2 linked regions of the Nothobranchius furzeri genome follow. The protein of the gene in region 1 interacts with the protein of each later gene in a pairwise test. Links are inferred from orthologs where the notes say so. Each region holds a gene or a part of one and is shown in the gene's direction. Other genes may lie near its edges.

Region 1 (7,288 bases):
CTTTTGAGCTGCCTAGTCCCGCCCCTCAAGTGCCTCTCTGCCTGTGAGAGAATTAAACAGAGGACGAGTCTGGCAGGCCAGGCTAACTAAAATAACCTGAACTTTAAACACTGTAGAACAAAGACTAAAGATAAATTAACTAAGGATAAATGAAGTGACTAAAGGGAAACCCGAAGAAGCTGGGGACCAAAAGGGGGGCATAGAAGATTAGGGGACACATGAGGGGAACCAGGAGGGGGCTGGGGACCACAGGGACACAGAACATGACACAAAAACCTTTTTTGGGTCGCCGGACGGTGTGGGGATGTTTAGAACGTATAACTGGCTTCACTGGTGGACATGAATGACCCCTTATAGACTCCAAGGCAGAGAGGAAAATGATCTCTGCCTGCCCTAAACAAAGTCTTGTTTATCCTTATCTGACGCCAAGGCAGCCTCTCAAGGCTGCTCAACACTCCCCCACGAAAGGAGGAATGCTGACAGATGCTGTGTCCCGACCGTTCCCCCCCCCCCCCCGCCTTCAGATTGTGACTTCTGCTTCGAGGTCAGCAACCTGCAGGAAACTCAATGTGCTCTCTGTCCCTCATCCCTCCCTCCCACCTGTTTGACTGCAGCTGACTGAGCGCCATAATGGCAGCTCCCGTTGGAGGATTCAGGATCCCGCCCAACCCCGCCTCCCCATCGGACTCTGACGTTTTGTAACTGTGATGTTCGTGCTTCTATGTTGAGGAGTTTTTTTTTGTATAATAGAGCTACTCCCCGCTGGGTCTAACTCTTTTATGCCTTTTTTTTTTACCTTACCCCAATTATCCTCATGCAACACCCTTTCCATCTAATGAAATGAGCGCCATTCTGGCTGCTCTCGTGACTGCCTGTACCTGTTTCTGTCTACATGTGCGTCTGTTTAACCTTGGTCAGGTTGTGTTTGCGGACTCAAGTTCCTATGCACTGGGTCGCTGGAGCGCTGGCAATAAAGCTTATTCTGATTCTGATTCTGATTTTCTCTTGCTTTTAAACAACTGTTTGATTGACTCTAATGAATTAATGATTATTTCTTCTGTTTTGAACATTTTCTGCCTGTTTTGCAGACTGCAGGAGGAGGAGCAGGTGTTAAACCTGTCCATCAAGGAAGCTACAGCTAAAGTAAGCCCCTGCTCCTCTCACCTGATTTGTTTCCTTAACCGCTCAGCCTCCTCGCTGCTTGCCCACAGTGACTGAATGTGTATGAAAGCCTAATAGTCAGAGCAGACAGTAAGTGCCACTGTCGGAGTGCTCAAAATGCAAACTAAATGTCAGTCTGCATTCTTGTGATCTTTTTTGATTTGACAAAGCAGTGATCTCTTCACCGCTGCGTGCTGGAGTCAGAAGCAGCAGGATGTGCCATTTTGAACAGCTTTTTTTTCCCAAGTGAAATAGGGATGTTAAAGATAAAGCTGTCAGATTTTTTCTTTTGAGTAGAGGAAGTACATAATAAAGTAAAAATAGAAGTCTGGTCAGTATGGTGTGTTTTTGTTTACTCTCATTTGCTCCACAGGGATTGGACGTTCCCCTTTTATGCTAATAAAGCTTCTGCAGCTGGAAAAAAAAAGGCAAAAAAGTGTAAGAAATTGCAGTTTACAAACAGCAGGTATGAGAGGTCACGTGTCCTTTAGAAACCCATCATCAAACCACCGGTTTGCTGCACTTCAAAGCAACGTTCGCACTTCCACCAGTCGCAAGAGTTTCCATTGTTATGTTAGGAATGAAAAGTTTGGTTCTTAAATGAAATACCCACCATGTGGAAAACGGCACACTTGCTGTGACGGAACGATTCCCGGCATGAAAGTGACTCTCATTCTCTCCGCTTTTGCAAAATTGACAAAGCCTGATGTTTGGAAATGAAATCGTCGGTGTCAGAATTTCTACAGACGGCAGAAAGTGCTCCACAGAGCTTCTTGCATGAAGTCAAAAATTTCAAGCCTGTTTTGCTTTATTTCTGTGGGAGGAAAGAGAAAAAAAAGCCTCCCTGGAGATGTTCTGCCTGTGAAATACCAATCTATTTGACAACCATGTGCAGAACTGTGTCAGATTCCAGAAGAGGAATAAATGCATAAGAAGATCCACTTCTAGGTATCTTTGAGGTGTGAAAACAATTCTTCAAAAGAAACGAGGATTTTATGTGAATGCAGCTAAAAGTGTGTATGCTTAGGAGCAGAGTGGATGGATCGGATCTTTAAAAAAACTCCATAAATTCTGCTCTGAGCGGCAGCTTCTCATCCCAAAAACCTGCTCTGACTTTCTAATAGTCCATATATTATATGAAAATAAGCCTTTTGTGTCATCTCTAGAGGTTTTTGATGAGGAGAGATGATTCTCGGCTGTGCATTCAGAGCAGAACAGACGCTGAAATGCAGATAAACCTGTAAGGTCGTCAAAGAATGAGTTTCAGATAGAAAATGAAGGCAGACGAGGAAATGAGCAGTGCATCATGTGGGATCCATGCCTGTGCAAAGGTTTTGCTAGTTACCACCCTCCCCATCTCACTCCTCTGCATCTTCTTCTCCTCTTTATCCCCAGGTGGTCATGAGTCAGAGGCTGGGCAGCAGCCTGAGGAGAAAAGTCAGCGAGACCGACACGCAGCTTTTGGCGCTGCATGAAGCCAAACTGGCAGCCATCTCTGGTAACTTTCCACTGAGCTTTACCTCCAAAACCTCCCTGCTACATTACGCATCCTTTCATTTACCCCATTTGCTCGAATCGCTCACCATTAGCCTTGCTTGATTACCCCATTAATGCTCAAGAAGCTCATTAATAGGCGGTGAGAGTGTAATGCCCTCCTGTGGTGCACCGGCGCAGGTAATGACTTCAGCAGCGCCAAGGAGCTGAAGGCTGAGATGAAGGCGGTGTACCTGGAGCGGGACCGGCTGGAGGCTTTGGCCAAGAGGCTGCACAGCCTCAGCTCAGGGAGCAGCCAGGAGCTGGCCGGGATGAAGGAGCAGCGGCAGCAGCTCAGGCAGGAGCTGGAGCAGAGGGAGGCGCAGCACGGTGAGTCTCTGAGGCCTCCTGCAGGTAACAGGATGTTAATAAAATCAACAGCTCTTTCCTGTGATTCAACACTTCTATAGTGAAGAGCTCACCTGGTCATTAACTAGATGCCTGCAAACTGTTATGCTTTACTTTCCTTCCCAACTTAAACCAATACAAGGATGAAAACCTTTTATTAACAACAAACAAGCACCCAGAGAATTCCCTGCGGACTGCCTGAATGTTTTGATGTAAAAACACCACTACAACACCAACGCCGACAGATTATACGTGCTTACTTTGATTTAATGAGGTAAGCAGCAGTTGCTTGGCTAGAACGCTAAAAACCAGCCAATAAATCTAACATGATGTTTTTTCTAGTTTTAAGCAGTCTAGCCACGCAACCTTTTGTTTCTCCAATTGGCGGAATTTTTTTACCCAAAAATTATAAAATTAATAAAAAATATGAAGAATAACATGTCCATTTTTTTATTTTCACTTTCTTGTTGCACCACCAAAAAAAGGAGAATGACCAAACTTGTCGCTCTGTCAGCTCAAGCATCCCGCGTGGCTCCTCTAAACCCCCGCCGCTACTGCCTCCACGCTTATTTAAAACATTGGCAGTGATCTCTAGTTATACGTTTCGTGTCACACGCTGGAGAGAAAATCCTCCAGTGCACCTGTTTCGGGAACTAAAAGTGAGCCAAATCAAAGTTGAGCTTCAAATGATGATTTGGATTCTTACTTCCCGATATTTGGACACCTCGACGTAGACATGCGATTGGCTGACAGCAACGCCACTCCACCGCTGACCCCATTTGCTCTGCAACGTTGATGTTTTATCTCCACACATAAAACAAGCCTGGAGGAGTTCTGCTGTGTGGTGCTAATGCTAACGGTTAGCTTCTACTCGTCAAAATGTGCTCTGCTGTTTCCTGGATGCTGAACTGTCGCGAGTCGAGATCAAGGACAGTGTGACGTGAATCTGTCAGGCTTGACTAACTCTAGAGTTTCACCGTGTGTTTTCTGTTCGAAGGAAATGCAGGAAACAGGGATGGAATACTATTTTCACATTCAGAGTAACCGATCATTTAAAAAAACTATTTGTACCGTAATTTCCGGACTATAGAGCGCACCTCAATATAAGCCGCACCTGGCTTAAAGCCGCAGATATCTACTGGATAGAAGACGTAGTCTAACTGAACGTAACTGAACTGATCAGTATCAGACAAAACAGAAAAGTTACTGATTAGTTTGTTCATCGTCCTCCTGCGCTCTGAAACCACTGAAGTCATCTTCTTCTTCAGTGTCGGAGTTGAGCAGCCTCAGAAGAGCTTCGTCACGCACCTTTTCTGTGGCGATGTCCGTGTCATCATCCCGGGTGAAGCTGGGAAAACAAGCGGCGCCGTTTTACTGTGAAAAACCCCTCCTGGGTGCTTTCCGTAGCGCTCCTTTAACCATTCCTTCATTAGACTTTCCAGCATCCATCCTTTCTGGTGGACTAAAGCCGCACCTCATGGTAAGCCGCGTGGTTCAAAGCGTGGGGGAAAAGTAGCGGCTTATAGTCCGGAAAATAAGGTAATAAGGGTTAAGGAGAACCCTGAATGTGTCAAATAAAACAACCGATCCTGGGTCACTCAGGATGGAAACCCAACCCTCTCGCCATTATCACTCCACTGACCTGTTCTTTATATCTCCACAGCAAAGTTCTAGCAGATACACATGTTGACCACGTCATAAACACACGCCTCGTTGCAGATCTGCTGTTTGTTCAGATGCATTTCTAAAAGTGATCATTTATGCATCAGTTGTAGTAAATCAGTGGTTCCCAAACTTATTTAGCCGCGCACCCCCTTCTATGTCCCGACCATGTCGACGCACCCCCCCCCCCCCCCACACACACACACATCACGGCATGGCTATATATATATATATATATAGATAGATAGATAGATAGATAGATAGATAGATAGATAGATAGATAGATAGATAGATAGATAGATAGATAGATAGATAGATAGATAAATAGATAGATAGATATCAGACGTCAAGCTAAACAGACAGGGTTAAAAAAAATATGATCGACCTTTTTCCCCATCACTTTCATTTTTTAAATAGTAATTAATAAACATTCGATACCATTACAATTTCCTTTGATTTAATTTTAAATAAATATTTAGAGTGCCCAGGTAGCACATAAACAATGCAATTTAACGGTTTTCTTAAAGTAGGAACGTTTAATCTGTGCGGCCAGAGCGCTCTCCTTCCTTCTGCTCTGCGTAAACCTGAGCTGATCACCTACTTGTGCGTAATCAAATGTCTATAGGGGAAAAGCTTTAGCCATGAGGTTCACTTTTGCCTCAGACCGACTTATTGCTGTTTTATGGTGTGGCTGAATCTGCGATCCGCTGCCACGCGGACTGGAACAACATGCTGCAGGTTCGGAGTCACTGGCTGGAGCGGACCCGACTTTAATACATCATCCCAAAATAGAAGCTAATATCTTAATTTGACCTGGAATGAAAAATGTTGATATAAAACCTCTTAAAAGTTTTTATCACAGAGGAGGCAGCGCTCATTTCTGCCTTCAGTCTGACGGTATCAGTCTGGCGCGCCGGAGTTTGCGCAGCGTGCACTTATTGAATCTCTGTGTGTGTGTGTGTGTGTGTGTGTGCGCGCAGCACAGCTCCACGAAGCTTGGTTTATGCTTGACGCATTCACTTTCCGCTTGGTGATGCGTCTCGCGGAGGGAACGCGCTTCACAACTTGCAGCGTTTAAGTCACTGTGTCTCGTTATTGGCGCTATTTAAACCAACGTTGTAAAATGACTTCTGCCCAGCCCAGATGTGCTCACTTGTGCACCCGTGAGCCGTGGTTCCGGAACGCGTCTGACCTCTGACAGACGCACTCTAAACTTCAGATCTTCAGCGCGTGTGAGGTTTACAATGTCAGAACACCTGCATGAGACAGGTGTTAATTACAATCTGCCAGAATGACTCGCCACCTTCAGATTCCTCCAACACCGTTAAAATGATCAAATACGGAACATATCGGCGTGCGCAGGCCAGAGTGCTGAAGCTCGGCGCATTGTTATTATGAAGCTAGGGCACATGCGGAGGACACACACACACACACAAGTAAAATATACTTGTTTTCAATTACATTTATTGGGCCCACTTACTTTTTCTTTGGCCCACCCACAAATGAGTTTCTGGCTACGCTAATGGTGACACCTGACAGACTTCTCTGAGCTCCGCAGCCATTACACTTTTCATCTCGCGCACCCCCTAGCGGCAGCTCGCGCACCCCCGGGGGTGCGCGCACCACACTTTGGGAATCCCTGTAGTAAATCTACATTTTGCTTTCTCCTCTCTCACCGCTTTCTGACTTATTATAATTCAGAACATGAGTTTGTTTGAGTCCAAGCAGTCGTTTGCAGTATTGATACTGAACGCACCGATATCACAATAACAATGAACTATTGAAGTCCGGCGCTAAGCTAAACCTTGGTGCAAAACAAGCAATTCAAGGAACTCTACAAAGAACCCAGTGTCCTCCCAATGCGCCACACTTGAATGAAGCTGTTTTTAATTTGTTCTTATCTTCATCTTTTTATTTGATTATCTTCAGCTTTCACCGTTTTTTGTGATAGCTTTCATTTGTCGCGTCTTTTTTTTTTTTTTTTACTGTTTTTTGATCTTTTGATATTTGTTTTGTTTTCATCGTGATTTATGATGGTGTTAAGCACATTGGGCTTCTGACAAGGTTGTGGAAGGTGCTTCATAAATAAAATAAAATTGAATTTGCTTTTCTTAACCTTCAGGAGCCAAAGGACCCTAAGGTCACTCCTCTGTCTACGGAAAACAGCCAGTGCACCTTAAAATGTAGTTTGTGCACTTGCTGTTGCAACAAACTGAGGGTTTCTTGCTGAAAACATGACAACTTTCAAAAAGAAAAACATGAGTAAAGCTAAAAAAGCACCACTGCTTATTTTTTAACATGCCCACGGAGAATAAGAGATCTTTTTTCCTTCTTTTTTTCTTAAAGAGCAAGTCACCCCCTACAAGAAACTTACTTCACTCCCACTTCATGTTTGAAAAATGCAACAAATGCTGTTGCTTGGCAGACCGAGAGGGCGGAGCCGCTAACAAATACACACACACAGGCTCACAACGGCATTATGACATCATAATGTACCAGATGACATCATAGCATACCTCTTAGCCAATAGCGGTGGCAGATTTAAATTCAAATACAGAGCAGAGTTTTTCCCTCACGACGGCGC
Region 2 (7,388 bases), on another chromosome or scaffold:
CAGGAATCCTGGATAAACTCAATACATTTTTTCGGCTCATTTCATAGGACAATTTGGGTTTTGGCCATCAGATGGTAATGTAACTACCGGTACTTCACGCTATGGTTTTGGCAACCCAATATAGCATATAAATCTCATTTCTCATTTTCTATTTTCTAATAAGAATTTTACCTTAAATTCGTACATTTTGATATTTGAATTAGTCTTGTGTAGGCAGCAAGAGTTGTTTTTATTCGCCCTGTTCTTGCCGTGTGTAATGTTCAATGTTCTAACAATCTTCTGAATTGAAGTCACTATTCAGATTAAAGTGTAGTGTGCTGAGTTCAGTTTCAGAAATTTATGTATTCTAGTTTATATTCTTTTTGGTGAGAAGTGCCAACAGAGAATACTAATGAGTCTGTCACTGAAACTTGAGAGAGCGGTTTGCTTATGTAAAACAATAACTTGCCATCCCTGTAAATTCATGCTGTGTTTTTCTTCTAAACGCTTTTTAAAGTTATTTTTAAAACACAGGATTTTTTTTATTTTTGCCATGTTAACAGTTTCGATCGCTTCTCCAGGAGGTAAAGAAAACCTTTGCTGTGTTTAAAAAATAACCTAAAAACGGAGTAACGTGAATAACTTGCCTTACTTTCACGTGACCGGAAAAGCCTACGCTTTACGTTATGTTCATGTTGCCGTAAAAATATCATCGCTGAAAGACGCAAGTTGCAGCCAGACAGCTTAATAACATTTTAACTGTGTTAAACAAAAATGGCCCTTGAGTCGCGGATCACTCAGGAGGAAATTAAGAAGGAGCCCGAAAAGCCCATCGACCGGGAAAAGGTTAATGTTTGGATAATGTTCAGTAACTCGCTCATCGTGTTGTGTGCTTCTAGCTAACCTTGTTAGCTGGTTTTAAACACTAAAACGGCAGTCGGGAGGAGTAAAAGCTTAAAAAGTGTTTTAAAACGGTCATTTACAGCTATTTAATGTAGCCGTTCTCAATTCTGTGTCGTAAATGTTTTATTTGAACTAAATAAATTAAAATTGTGTATGATTTATCTCGACGGCACCGTCTAGCATGCTAATAAGCTAATGCTAGCAACGCTTTACATGAAAAGACCTCTAAATGTTTTCAGTATTGTAAATGAGTCGGTTTTCCCTGAACAGATAAACATGGTTACATTTGAAAGTTGAAAATAATACTTTTAAGCCTGCATTTTTATTGTTCTTAAGGCAGATAAATAAACTTAAAAAAAGCAAGTATTTTTATTTGTGCTTTTTAACGCGCAAGCACAAGAGTAATAAACAGCAGAAACACAAATAAAACTGTTAAATAAATAAACGAAGGTAGATGTAATTGTCTATTATTTACGTTTAGCAGGAGAAAAAGGGTTGACCATAAGAAAAAATAACGGATATTTGTGAATTATAAATTGATTTTATTTGCTGTAGACTTATACCTGCGAAAACAAATAAGTTTCTATTGGATAATTTACAATAATAAAGAATTGATATAAATAAATATTTTACAATAAGAAATGCTTAATAGAAAAGGGCAATCATATTTCAAATATAGTTTAAGATAACTTTTCTTATTCTGTAAAAAAATTGTAATTTCTGTTTTTGGGTTCAGCCTAATAAAAACATTTTTCCCACATGTGCATTAAAAGGTTGCAGAAAAGTTCACTAAATTTCTTAATCAGGAACCAGATGGCAATCTTAAAAAGCCATTTCTTTCTATCAGCTGTAGGTACTTATTACGGCCACCAGGGGGCAGCGAAGACTCACTTCGGAACTCACTTTGCCCTGATGAAAACTTTCAAAATAAGGTTTATGTAAAAAAAAAATCCAGTTGAATCATTGAAATAACACTGACATTTACATCAGTTATTCTAAATGTGTTCATATATTTAAATCACATGTAAAGAATGTGATATTTATTTGTACTTTTGCTTATGTTTAACTTAGTTTTCTTGTTTCCTTCAGACCTGCCCCCTCCTCCTGAGAGTATTTACTACCAACAGTGGCCGACACCACAGAATAGAGGAATTTTCTAGAGGGAACGTTCCTTCCAGCGAGTTGCAAATCTACACTTGGTAAGACTTACAAACCATTACGTTTCTGGTATATGCTACAGAACCTCTGAAACAAGTGTTTGTTTACATCACAGGATGGATGCTACTCTGAAGGAACTAACTGGTTTAGTGAAGGAAGTGTATCCAGAGGCCAGGAAAAAGGGGACCCACTTCAGCTTTGCCATAGTCTATCCAGAACCCAGAGGGAAAATGTACAAGTAAGTGTCGAGCAACACAGATCGGGGTCGTAAAATCATACTATTGTTCATGAATTCCTGTGGACTGAGTTTGTGCATCTCTTTTTACAATGTTCAGGTTAAAAGAGATCGGCAGTACCATGTCTGGCAGGAAGGGTTTGGAAGACTCCATGACGCTGCAGTCCCAGCGGTTCCAGATTGGAGACTATTTGGACATAGCCATCACACCGCCCAACAGAGCCCCGCCCCTCAACCAACGCATGAGGCCCTTCTGAACGCACATGAAGCGATACATCTGTTTTTGGGTTCTCTTGAGTAGTTTAGCCTCATTTTATAATTCTTCATGTTTAATAAAGCTGTTTTTTCCCTATAGACTGTTGTTGAGTAGTTAATATCAATAATGTGTGTTTGTGAAGAGTTAATTTGCAAAAACAGACCAGTTTTGATCAAACATACCAAACTCACTTGAATGATAATCCTTAATTTAAAAAGTTTTTTTTTTTTTTTTTTTTGCAAATTTGTATAGAGACTTCTCTGTTTCGTTATATAAACTATGTATTTAAGTTAAGGTGCCATCTCCACATTTGACCCATCGCCATAGGGATGGGTGAGCTGTAATTATGGCTGTGCTCAGGAACCAGTTGGTGGTTTAACCCCCAATCCAACCATTTTAAAGTTGAGTGTCAAGCAAGGAGGCATTGGGTCCCATTCTTAAAGTCTTTGGTGTGACACGACTGGGATTTGAACCCCGAATTCCAGACAGGGCGGACACACTACCACTAGACCACTGAGCTGGTATTAAGTCATTTTAAAGAAAAAGATAGACCACGGATAACGTTATTTCAAGCTCTTTGGTGTCTACAAGCTTAAAGTAATGGACGTATGCTTCAACAAACTCAAATGTGGGTATTTGAAAAAGAGACAATGGCAAAGGTCCCCTTTTTCCTGGCCTCTCCATACACTTCCTTTACTAAACCAGTTCGTTCCTTCAGAGTAGCATCCATCCTGTGACGTAATAAGACACTTGTTTCAGATGTGAATTCGTTGTTAGCTCTTATTTTGGAAAGCACAACCGGAAATACTCAACTCCGACAACGCATGCGCGCTGCCGCACACTGAGCTAGCAACGTAGTGGTCATTTAAGGTTTAATTATTTAGAAACAACGAAGGGTTTCACATTAAAACTTCGTGAAATGTTTCGCAGAAAACTAACAGCTCTAGATTATCACGATCCCAGCGGGTTCGACTGCTCAGGTAAGCAATAAACAGGCTGTTTAGGAGGTTCGGTGAGTTTTAATGGAACCAAGTTAGCACGAAGTCCTGAGGCGGCGAACTAAACGCTACAAATAGACTATTTTAAGGTTGTGCTCAGTTTTAGTAGCACACGTGTTTTATCAGCTTTAATATCTTCATAAATCAATCAAAAACACACCACATGTGTATTCGGCATTAATATTTGTAAGATAGCTTCATTTCTAGGGATGTATTTTGCTAGTCTAGCAGACTAAACGATGACCGTGTGTCTCATTGGGCTATATTTATCAGTTAAACAGCTGGACTCCTTTGCTTCACTAATTATCAGAGTGTATAACAGCAGATGGTGATTAAAAAAATTATGTGTTTTCATAAAACCAGTAAAATAGTGACGCATCCGCTTTTGTCAGATGAAACTCACTTCAGAAACTGCATCGTGTGGCTGGAGGACCAGAAGATCCGACACTACAAGATCGAAGACCGGGGCAACCTTAGGAACATCCCCAGCTCTGAGTGGCCCAAAGCCTATGAGAAGGTGAGACTATCTCAGAGCTTATCTCCTAACAAGAGTCCCAACTAGAGCTTACGTGTGTGTGTGTGTGTGTGTGTGCGCGTGTGCGTGCGTGTGTGTGTGTGTGTGTGTGTGTGTGTGTGTGTGTGTGTGTGTGTGTGTGTGTGTGTGTGTGTGTGTGTGTAGTACCTGCAGGACCTGACCTGTCCATTTGGAGTCCAGGAGCGTAAGGAGGCTTTGGACTGGTTACTGGGGCTGGCTGTGCGTTATGAATATGGAGACAACGGTATCTGATGTGATCGTTTATCTGTAAAAACCTCCTAAAATGATATTTATTCAGAAATCACAGCTTTGATGTGGCGTGTCAATGGTTGAAATACCGACCACGACCAATAGAGGGGGCCATAACAAAGGAAATAATGCCAACACGCATAGAAAGCTGAATTATAATTAGGTTATTATATGATGGCGTTTTTTCCTTATTCTGGGTGTTTTGTTTTGTAGTTGATAAGTATAAAAACTGCCCGCCGCTGGCCGCTTCGGGGAACGGCGACAGAGCCGTGGATCCTCTCATCAACCTGGACAGTAAGCAGGAACACATCTTTGCTGTTACTACCTTTTAACGTTTCATTCATCACCTAAAGGTCTAATAAAAAATAAATACATTTCAGGCAGTTCTCCAGATTTTAAAGCAGGAGTCACCGCTCTGGCGAACATTCTAAAGATCCAACGACACGACGATTACCTGGTCATGCTCAAGGTGAGCTGTATGCGTGTCTACATCATCCCTGAATGTGCTCAAGTTGTTTACTTTGTGACGTTTCCTAATGTTTTCACTCGGCAGGCTATCCGCATCCTGATCCAGGAGAGACTTTCACCAGAGGCCATCACAAAAGCCAACCAGAACAGAGAGGTACACGTTACACTGTAAAACAGCAACAAACTAGTCAATTAAACAGAAATGGTAGAATTAGCTAAAATGGTCAAGAAAATGACCTTATTAGTCTTGAAGATAACGTTAAACATTTTTCTGTGTTTCTGTGAACAGTTAGTATCTTACCAGCTGTAGGGAGTTCTTTGAATGGCCTCAGTTTGGAGAAAGAGTTTGCAATTTTTAAAACGCTCTAGTTAAAAATATATCAGTTATTAAATAATAATAATAATAATTTACTAGGGTTGTCAGAAAATATTGATATGGCAATATATCGTGATATTTTTTTCAGTGATATATCGATTTTCAAAAGTGGTGTATCGAAAATATCGATATCGCAATATATTGCGGTATAGTTTTCTGCGATATATCGATATTCAAAAGCAGTGTATCTAATTTTTGGAAGAATTTACATACAAACATTTGTGTATTTTCATTTCTTTTGGTGCAATTCAAACGCCGATCACTAGTTGGCAGCAGTGTGCCAGTGGGTTTTGTTTCCACCGTTGAAATGCAAATCCCTCCATTATGGTTCAGATACCTCATGTTAAACATGTTAGTATCGGTTTGGATTGTTTGTTGAATTTCACTATGATAAATTCAGTCTAAAAAAAGTCGTTAATATCGAATGTATCGCAATATATCGTGATGTATTGTATCGTCTTCCCTGTATCATGATGTGTATCGTATCGCCGTAATTTCACCAATACACACCCCTATTATTTACACACATGGTGCTTCTGGCTGGCTTTTCATAATATTTCTGCTTAAACAGTTGTCCTCAATTCTTTTCAGTGATGTCAAGGTACGTGTTGAATATGGCTTCTACTTACGTGGACTCTCAAGCCGCCCCGCCTCACTAATTGAGAACCACTGTGCTAGATTAACTACAAAACATGACATTTATGACAGTATTAATTGTAAAAAAGTATTTGCATGATTTAGAGATTGTAGTTATTTTAAGACATTTTATAATTAGCCTCATTTTGACTAGCTGCTAGCTTGTCACAATTAGCTAATCTCCATTTCTCTAAACTGAGGGTTTTCAAAGGCCTTTCCACAACAACTAGACGACATTTAACCAGAAACACTCTTCAGAAGTCCTGAGCTGTTCTATGATTTTTTTTGAGTGTACACACTATAAAAATGTCACGTGAAGTCTTTATTTATTTATTTTCTTAGCCCATGTTGTTTCATTTAAATCGATGATCAGTAAATCTGAAAGAAAACATTTTGTTCTGGATCACCTTCAGCTTGTGATTCTGATCTTTAAGCTTCATACTTTCTCTTTTGTCCCCAGGGAGTCCCGGTGGCTTTAGACAAACACGTTTTGGGTTTTGACACTGGAGGTGAGTTTTTGTGTTTGGCTACCACAACACCCATCGGTGTAGAAGAGAAAAACTGACCTCCGTGGTTCTCCGACCTCAGATGCGACCCTGAACGAGGCGGCCCAGATCCTGCGCCTGCTGCACATCGAGGAGCTACGAGAGCTGCAGACAAAGATCAACGAGGCCATCGTCGCCGTTCAGGCCATCATAGCCGACCCAAAGACGGACCACAGGCTGGGCAAGGTCGGCAGATGAGGAGGAAGCAAAGGACTGATGGAGATTTTATTTTTATTTAATTTTGAGAACAAAGGCCCTTCTTGTTTGCTGGGATGGTTAAAGGGACATAAATGATTCTGTTGTTGCATCAGTTTTAAACATCCAGGGTCAGATGTTCATTTACCGCTTGTTGTTCAGCAGGAAGCGGTGAGGTGGATACTGTTGAGCTGGTGTTTTTCTCCACAGCGGGAATAAAACGATTATTTTGAGTCGGTAAATATTAATTTTGCTTATTTACTTTGTGCCAGACTTAATCGACTTCCTGATTCTGGGGTTTCTGTGATTGGTTTTATTCTGGATGGAAAAAAGAATTTGGTTCAGGAGTTTGACTTTGACTGTGTCAAGAGATACCTTCTAACTCGACTGTCCTCGTGGACAAAAATGTCTCCTTTAGGAAAGTTTTCTCATCGGACCAGACTGGGCTGTTTAAAACGATCCAAGACTGAACCAGTTGTTAAGCATGGTGGTGGCAACATCCTGATTTGGTGCTGATGCCTTCTACAAAGTAGACAGGCCCCCAAACTCTTCAAATTTTTCTGAAATCATCCGCTTTATGGTTGAAACACTAGAATGTTTCGGAACATTGATAGTCCTAAGATTTCATTTGGACCCTGAACAGATTCAAGACTCTGGTCCAGATGCAGCAGAGCAGAACCGAGCTTGTGTTTGTGATCATAGAGATGAGGCGTTTGCCAAAAAGCTCCAATTTGATCTCATCCGTCTAAAACTCCATGGTGTCCTCGGTTGTCTTTCATGTCCAAAAAGAGAAAGGTGCTTTCATCTAACAATGATAAACCTTAATATTAGAGTTGTCCTCTAACCACTCTGGAA

What was found. The genes of interacting proteins can lie anywhere in the genome.
Region 2: the proteins of disc1 (region 1) and rtraf interact in a two-hybrid assay, tested with the Homo sapiens proteins (2 studies listed by BioGRID and IntAct). The link is inferred for Nothobranchius furzeri from reciprocal best matches to the Homo sapiens genes DISC1 and RTRAF.

Annotation. Positions count from the first base shown.
Region 1 is NC_091752.1:2,346,476-2,353,763, forward strand, and holds part of disc1 (disrupted in schizophrenia 1 protein), read left to right. Parts: intron 1-1,088; coding exon 1,089-1,143; intron 1,144-2,556; coding exon 2,557-2,659; intron 2,660-2,835; coding exon 2,836-3,024; intron 3,025-7,288. UniProt on the Homo sapiens protein: Involved in the regulation of multiple aspects of embryonic and adult neurogenesis. Required for neural progenitor proliferation in the ventrical/subventrical zone during embryonic brain development and in the adult dentate gyrus of the hippocampus.
Region 2 is NC_091754.1:55,848,841-55,856,228, forward strand, and holds rtraf (RNA transcription, translation and transport factor protein), read left to right. Parts: upstream 1-3,328; 5' UTR 3,329-3,450; coding exon 3,451-3,511; intron 3,512-3,921; coding exon 3,922-4,046; intron 4,047-4,208; coding exon 4,209-4,308; intron 4,309-4,526; coding exon 4,527-4,607; intron 4,608-4,693; coding exon 4,694-4,782; intron 4,783-4,866; coding exon 4,867-4,935; intron 4,936-6,253; coding exon 6,254-6,302; intron 6,303-6,381; coding exon 6,382-6,536; 3' UTR 6,537-6,775; downstream 6,776-7,388. Other genes in the region: histone deacetylase complex subunit SAP18, read left to right, coding at 754-825, 1,972-2,081, 2,156-2,278, 2,376-2,532. UniProt on the Homo sapiens protein: RNA-binding protein involved in modulation of mRNA transcription by Polymerase II. Component of the tRNA-splicing ligase complex and is required for tRNA ligation.